Schizosaccharomyces pombe: one gene and its partner. Changing the gene in region 1 together with any one later gene gives a genetic interaction. Each region holds a gene or a part of one and is shown on either strand. Other genes may lie near its edges.

Evidence for each region.
Region 2: of psy1 (region 1) and syb1, extra expression of one rescues a mutant of the other (dosage rescue), as found in Schizosaccharomyces pombe (2 studies listed by BioGRID, with this or other methods).

The regions. Positions count from the first base shown.
Region 1 is NC_003421.2:1,027,001-1,031,282, reverse strand, and holds psy1 (plasma membrane SNARE Psy1), read left to right. Parts: upstream 1-2,063; 5' UTR 2,064-2,136; coding exon 2,137-2,991; 3' UTR 2,992-3,782; downstream 3,783-4,282. Other genes in the region: putative histone N-acetyltransferase Naa40, read left to right, coding at 455-1,027; glucosidase II beta subunit Gbs1, read right to left, coding at 3,845-4,127, 4,172-4,282.
Region 2 is NC_003424.3:3,266,257-3,270,170, reverse strand, and holds syb1 (synaptobrevin family receptor), read right to left. Parts: upstream 1,881-3,914; 5' UTR 1,861-1,880; coding exon 1,659-1,860; intron 1,595-1,658; coding exon 1,431-1,594; 3' UTR 501-1,430; downstream 1-500. Other genes in the region: helicase Sen1, read left to right, coding at 2,646-3,914.

The DNA of each region.
Region 1 (4,282 bases):
TGCTAAAATGCCTTGAAGTTAAATCATGCTAATTGAAATATACGCGTTAATGACCCCGAAATTGTTTGTAAAAGTTTTTTTTTGTTTGCAAGTTTCTTTCTATCTTTGGAAACTATATATATATTTTAAAGTTGCATATTGCGTTTAAGGTCTCTTCCGGTTTCATCAGAAGTCAAGCTCTAAATTAATACAACTGCTGTTATTTGAATAAAGGATACGGCTTAAAACGATTATTGGAAATAGGAATTATTAGATGATTAAGAATATTCATTTTTTGTTATCGTGTATTACTAAGTAGGCTTGCTGTAGCAACAATAATAAAAATGATAGCATTTTGCTCGATATGTATTAAACCCTTATTCAATCTTTGGTTTTTAAAAGTGTAATGTGATATTGATACCTTAACAACATTATGCATTTTTTGAAGCAATACCTCTTTTACTCACCCAGACGTATGAAGACCCAGGAAATCAAGAATGTTACACTCGAAGACGTTGATTTTTTAAAAAACTTAGGGGTTTGGGTGGAGATATATCATCATCTAGAAAAAGGACTTCTTCAGCAATGTTTCAATTTGGTAAAAAAGAACATGGAAGCACTATATCGACAAAGCTCCTTCGGATGGGATGATTCAGAGAAATTGAAGGAAATGGAGATGGAAAAATTAGAGTATATTTGTATTTTTGAAAAAACCTCGAAAAAATTGGTAGGATTTCTGAGTTTTGAAGACACTGTGGAAGCAGGTCTGACTTGTTTATACATATATGAGATACAGCTAGATGAGCATATACGAGGGAGGAACGTTGGGAAATGGTTATTAAAAAATGCAAGTATACTTGCATATCGACGAAACCTAAAATATATTTTCCTGACAGTATTTAGCGCCAATTTAAACGCCTTGAATTTCTATCATCATTTTGATTTTGTACCTCATGAGTCATCTCCCCAAGAGAAAAAATTTAGATCAGGAAAAGTAATTCATCCGGACTATTATATACTTTATACGAAGTCCAGAAAGGATTGGTAATTGAGCTTCCGTATACACACATGCTTCATACCTTTTTGCCATCCCCCTCTAAAACTACAAAATATGTGTATAGTCTCTTTTCTTCTTTGGTGCATCCAATCTCTGAGTTTAATGTTTTGCATTGAAGTCATCAAATTTTGTGTATTTTTTAAATCTACGATACCATACATTATGACCTGGTCCCATCAAAATATTGTTCCATTTACTAAACCTTTAAAACTTTAGTAAAATATTTGAAATTTCTGTTCAGGACTTTTGTTTTATTCCATTAGCAACGTTGTAATGTTACATGATGCGAATTGCTTTTCAACCATAACAGCTTAGGGATTGGAGGGGCTACAATTTCTATTTTAATTTATTCATTAATGTCAAAATATTTCTACCTATATTGAGGTATATAGTTACTATCTTTTTAATTACTCAAAGAAAATCACTTAGGATATCGATTACTTCTGTTTCAAATTCAAACCTAGAAGTATAGATCAGAGAAAAATTACCGACAATGATAACTAAAATTTTCAGCATTCCTTTCTCGTTTCCAATGGCATTCAAACCATGATTGCTTTTAGTGTTAAAAAACAAAAACAAAAAAGAACGATTAATTCCGAGACAGTCAACTCCATCAACTACGAAAAACAATTAAATATTTTTTATGCATTTCTTGAAATAAACTACAGCAAAAATCTTTCTTTTCAACCAGAATATCAAGAAAACTTCACTCCTTATTCGTACCTCATACAAGTCCAAATAACGAGGAGAGTATCCTATTGTGATTTTAACAAACTCCAACTTCCTTGGAATTCAATTTTTAAGTATTAGGCGTATATTTTTGATATCAAGTTTAACGGATTGTATTGTACAACATTAAAAAGTAAACACTGCTACGTCACACAAAGCTCGGATTTGATTATGATTGGCGGACTTTCAACAGTGTGTTGTTGCTAAGCCGCCTTTTGTTTACCATTGTCTGCGAAAACATTCGTTAAATGCTGCTGTATGATTCTTTATTTTTAGTAGGAAAAACGTTCTTGTCTTTAACCAACAACAACAGAAGGTATCTATACCTTGTTTGTTCAACAAAACGGGTTTAAACAGATAAATATAACAAAATGAATAAAGCAAACGATTATACACTAGGAGTGGAGATGATCCCTCTTAGTATGGGAGAGTTTTTTGAAGAGATCGATCATATTCGCGATGCCATTCGTCAAATCGAAGATAATGTCGGTCGAATTGAGATGTTGCATCAACAATCGCTGCAAGAAATTGACGAAGCAAATATTGCAGCTACGACTCGCCATTTAGAAGGTTACACATCAGATACTCGACGTCTCCAAACTAGCGTTCAGTTGGCCATCCGGTCATTAGAGTCTCAAAATATGCAGCTGCCACCCGATAATGACACAGCCACCAGAAAAACACAGACCGAAGCTGTAAAAAAGAAATTTATGGACCAAATTCGTCACTTTTTACAAATAGAAAAGACATATCGTGCTCAATATGAACAACGTATGCGTCGGCAGCTTGAAATTGCCAACCCCAGGGCTACTGAAGATGATTTTCAAACCGCTATAAATGAAGAAAATGGTGGACAAGTATTTGCTCAGGCTTTGCTTCGATCAAATCGGTCTGGTGAAGCTCGCACTGCATTACGGGAAGTCCAGGAGCGTCATGCCGATATTAAAAGAATTGAAAGAACCATTGCTGAACTTGCACAGCTTTTCCAGGATATGGCTACTATGGTACAGGAGCAAGAACCAATGGTGGATAAAATTGTAACGGATGCTGTTAACGTTCGCACGAATATGGGTGAAGGAACTCAGCATATGGATAGAGCTATCAAGAGCGCTAGAGCAGCTCGTAAGAAAAAGTGGATTTGCTTTGGTATTTGTGTTGTTATCATTTGTGTAATCGTTGCTGTTTTATGTGGTGTTTTGATTCCTGTTCTTGGCAATAGACATTGATCAACGGTCATTCTTCCTTGTTGCATGAAAAGTTTTTTTCTTTTAAAAAATCATGTTTTTCATTACTTGGTTTTAATGATATTCTTTTATTCTTCTAGTATCTTGACTGTTCTAACCATAATCCTTTTGCTTACCCCTTTTTTTTCTGTTTCTTTTCTTTTAAACCTTTCTTCCTTGGACTTGTATAGTTTGTACAATTTTACCTTTTTCACCCTTTATCCACGTTATTCTTATTCATTTTCATTTCCTTTCATCCATCTCTTGCAAAATTCTCTGCGATCGTTATTACAATCCCTGTCTACACCTTTCCGTTTCCCCATCTACCCTTACTTAATATTTGAGTTGCTGCAAATGTATTTATTTTCAAATGCTGCAGTGATATGGCCGGTTAGATATCACCTTTGAAACGTTTACCTTTTTAGCATATTTCCCGTTTGAACGGTCCGATTGTGATTTATGGACTCTGGAAAGTCTTTTCATTTTCACTCATCGCTCGTTACTTAAGTTGCAGTGTAAAATATTTGGACTACACGTCTGGCATTGTTATTTTGTTTATTCATGGCATGCTGCTTCGTTCTTTACCCCAGCAGTGTTTTACATCATTCTCGGGTTTTATATTGGTAGAAACCAACAAAATTTATTTGGTTTTTTAAAAGACGATAACAGCATTGTTTTAACAGTTTATGTGTTTATACGTATATGAACGGAATCGAAGTTCATCATCAGTTCTGGATATTTCAATAAACGTTGTTGTATATTTTCAAAATGCTTAAAAAAAATAGGCGTAATTTACTGTAGAGACGACCATGAGTTGAATGTAGTAATTTATTTAAATGGCATAAGCGATATTATATTATAACTCATCGACAGATGATTCCTTGTCTTCCATTCCATTAACAGCATTTTCGTTTGCGCTGTTTTGGGTGTTGAGTAAAGACTGCTTGAGTTGATCAGGGGAGCACGCAGCAGGGCTCTTCATTTTGATTAAATACTCACATTTCTGAGCCTCCAGTACACTAACAATCTCATTTTCTACTCCACATTCAACAGTAACAATGGCAGATCTATGAGGACCATTCCAGCAACTTTGACCATTTTCATACTTTAGAACATTTCCTTCCTGCGAGGCAAAATTTCTAGAGTTGTTAGCAAACACATACCAAAGCAAATCTACACCTACCCTAATAGAATGGAATCTTGAAAAACATTTTCGTAAAACACCACCTTGTATGTATAGCCACCAATTTCACGTTTTGTTTCCATTCCCTTGATAGCTCTGTACAAATCCCAC
Region 2 (3,914 bases), on another chromosome or scaffold:
TACACTTCTAACTATAGGTAGCACTTGTTACCTAAGGAACCGTAGTAAAAATGTAGGTTATAATCATCTTTGTTTTGATAAATATCAAGAGTTGTTGTGATTCCCTGGTTTTTCACAATCTATTTACATATCAAACTTATATATTTTTTAAATTTTCTGGTTAGTATCATTATAAGCGTAATTCTAGTAAGGAAGACAATTACAATTTATTAAAATTATATACAAATATTTGAAGATATATTTAATTCAATCACTCAGTAAAAGTGAACGATTTAATATATGTAGTTTATTATTATATTTCAACGAGAATTCATACAAACAATATTACAAAAAAATCTGTTGATTTTTTCAATCATCTAAATTATTAAAATATTGGGCTATTATTATCTATTCTTCAGACTAAAGCATTTTAAGGGGAGCAAATATACTACTTTCTGATACAATTAAATTCTAAATTACGTTAAGTTACATTGATAGTAAACAAAAACAAATGCAGTACTGTTGAACCCAGTTGATGAATATATCTTAATTCGTAAACCGTGCTGCATTCAAAATTTAAAATACTACACGAATGAAGGATTAGACCACAATATCTGTTGAGCAAAATAGAAGTCGAAAAATAATACAATTGTTAATCTGGATATAAAACCACGTGTGAGCAAACTTAAAAAATATTTCCTAATTATCAGGTTTACACATTTCACTCTATAAAATTAATTAAGAATAGTGGTTTTTTAATACACCTATCAGTGCAATAATCAGTATAAAAAGAAGCTAGCTTCTAAAGGAAAAATATGAAAATAAGATAACAAATTTGCTCCCGTACTAAGTACTTTTGAAGAATTAGAAAAAAGCCGTAGACAAATGGAATATCGAGGCTAATCTGTATACATTAAAACATTATCCATCTTTATGCTATAGGGTTATCCATATAAAGAGCGGAATAGAAAAGAAATACCGAGAAGGAAACAAAAATTCTATTTACCATCTTAAGTACGGAAAGTAATGATAATTTTGTATCCATAAAGATTTCCTTTGTCAAGCAAGCAAGGCCCATGATATGTATGGTGAGGTGTAGAAAGAAGAAAAGAGGAAAAAGCAATACAGGCCAAAACCAAATTGCTCAACAAAAAACCAACCTGGTATTCACTATCATTGACCCGTCAGTCATCAAGTATGTATATGCAAGAAAAATAAAAACGAATAAAGGATCTTGAGAAAAAATGCGTTATCTCTTTGCAAAAAAAGTGGCCCTGTCTACATCAGAAGCTTTTTTCTTAAAATTCGATTTATAGGTTGTTGTGTCAGGCAAGAGAGAAAGAAAGAGAGAAGGAAGAAAAAAACCAGAGACAAAAATACGCTTGAAAAAAAAGTATTCAAACAGCAAATATTTTGACTCGGCATGCGACTAAGCTACATGATACATCTTCTTACTTGCCATGAAATTTTGTTGCGATAGGAACAATAATGACAACAAGTAAAATGATGATACCAATGATAATGCAAAGACGCATACGCATGTCCTTCCACCACATCTTCTTGCGAACACGATTGGCGCCACGACGGAAGCCTTGCGCGCTAACAGCAAGGTTATCTTAAAGAAGTTAGCTAAACGTTCAAAAAAAAAATTTAACTGTTAACAAAAATAAATATCATACCTGTTTTATCTTGTAAAGAATCAAGGCGTTCTCCACGTTCTGAAACCTTAGAAATGTTTTCACGCATAATCCCCACAGTATCGTCAATCTGCTGCTGAATTGCAGCTGTCTTCATATTCGGCGTCGACGAAGCAGCAGCATTTCCACTACGAACAGCTGCAGAAGGCTCCGCCGGGATATATGGGTCATATGGCTCAGACATGGTCGTATGTGTTAGTTGGTGGAGGATTTATTTTTGCGCTCGGTTGGAGTTGATGTGTACCAATTCGTTAATCCTCTTTCCATTGCGTTAAACATCTGGCTTTGTAATGTTGGGTTGCAAAGCAGTTTTGTGATTATACTTATATAAATTAAAGAAAAAAAATAAAATAAAGTAATAAAATTACTTCTTGCCTTTTTACAATAAGAAACATGTAACTAGCTGTACCCTCATAGTAAATAACGTAAACAAATCCTTAGTATTGGTGAATTTGGGAGGAACCAACTACGCCCTTTGGAATAGAGATTTGGAAACACGTCTTGTTTCTTGGCGATTTGAGCTGTTCATAACAATATATTTCTTCTTCTAAATTTCCTTGAGTTATGAAATTTTTATGAAAGTTTTAACTTTCACATAGTGTTAAAAGGTCTCCTCTCATCGCTGTAGCGTCCGAAACGTTATTTGTTATTTTATTCTTGAGATCTTTTGTAAATAAAATTTTATTTACGTTACGATTTACGTCTGGATTAGGGTTTTGGTTTTGGCACTTGCAATATTAGATTTTTCCTGGGTTTTTGGTCTATCGGTGAAACAACGTTTATTTGGGTCCATTTAATCATACATTTATTAGAAAAAAGTCTTTAAAAAAGAGACAATACTCACTTACCTACATTTCTTTTGTTTGTTTTTTTGTTTTCACTCTTTTATCAGAAAAACAGGTTGAAATTTCCAAAAAAAATATTATTTACTTCATAACATTAAAAAAATATTAAATTTGATTGTTACAAATGGCGGAGAATCTTAGCGATCAAGATTGTTTTGAAAAATTATCGTCTAGTAAAGAGGGTCAGCATTGGTTTTGCTCAGGACTACTGACTCAGTATATACAACCTACCTTCTTTTGGTTTGCACATGATGAAACTCCGAGCTTTAAATGGGTATTAAATGCCTATCATGAGCGTTTACGCTCTTGTACTTCTTGTATACAAGCTTATTATGAACTTCGAAATGAATCCCTTGCGAAAGGTTCATATTCTTTTACTGGGTTTTCAATTACCGATTTACAGGAAAAGTGGAATAAATGGGATATTATCCGTGTCTTAGAGGACTTCAAGGCCCTGGAGGATGAAACAATTGACTTCACGTCTTTGCCTTGCTTAATTTTCGAAACCCTCTTGAATCCTAAATTGTTTACCTGTAAAAATATTTATAAAAATGCAATAGATGCATTTAATGGTCTACTTTCAGATTGGTGTTCTAATATATTTCTTCCTGGTTATTTACTATTTTTCTATGAAGCTTCCCATCCCGATGTTTTGGAATGGGTTCATAGCTTTTTTAAGGAAAATACTGAAATAAGAATTTCTTCTGCTACAGTTGACGCCGTTTTTAATACTGTAGTGTTTGAAAGTCAAAATTCCTCTGACAGTGATTGTAATTTCGTGTCTATAAGTAGTCCTGAATTTTGGGAACGTACTTACATGTTTTTAGAACTTCTTCCTTTACAATCCATTACTGCTGCATGTGAGTCCATTTTAAAAGATTATCTTTTAAATTTGGTAAAGACTTCTGAATCTCTATCCTCTCAACAAATGTCCTGTCTTCGAATTTGCTGCAATTCCTCATCCTTTTGGTCTGCCGCTGATTCATTTAAGGAAGTGTCTTCTTTCTTAAAAAACTTGCTAAAAAATGTTACAGCTACACCTTTTGAAGTATCTGACATGAACTGGGCTTACATTATTGCTTCATTTTTTCGCACATGTTTAAATGACTTTGTTAGTGTTTTTCCGGAATGGCTTAAAGGATTTGTAGAAGAGAAGCGTACTATAGGTTTCATCATTTATTCGGTTTTGGATGCGTTATTTGATCTATTATCGCTAGATTACAGCTCTCCTTCATTTCTTAACAATACACTATCGTTGATGAATGCTAATAGCATCACTATTTTACAAGATTATCCGGAGTACATGCTGAAACTCAGATTGCACTCTTTACTTTATGACATTGCATTTATAAGTTGGTCTCATAAGGCAATCACTAAAAATCCCTCATTTGTT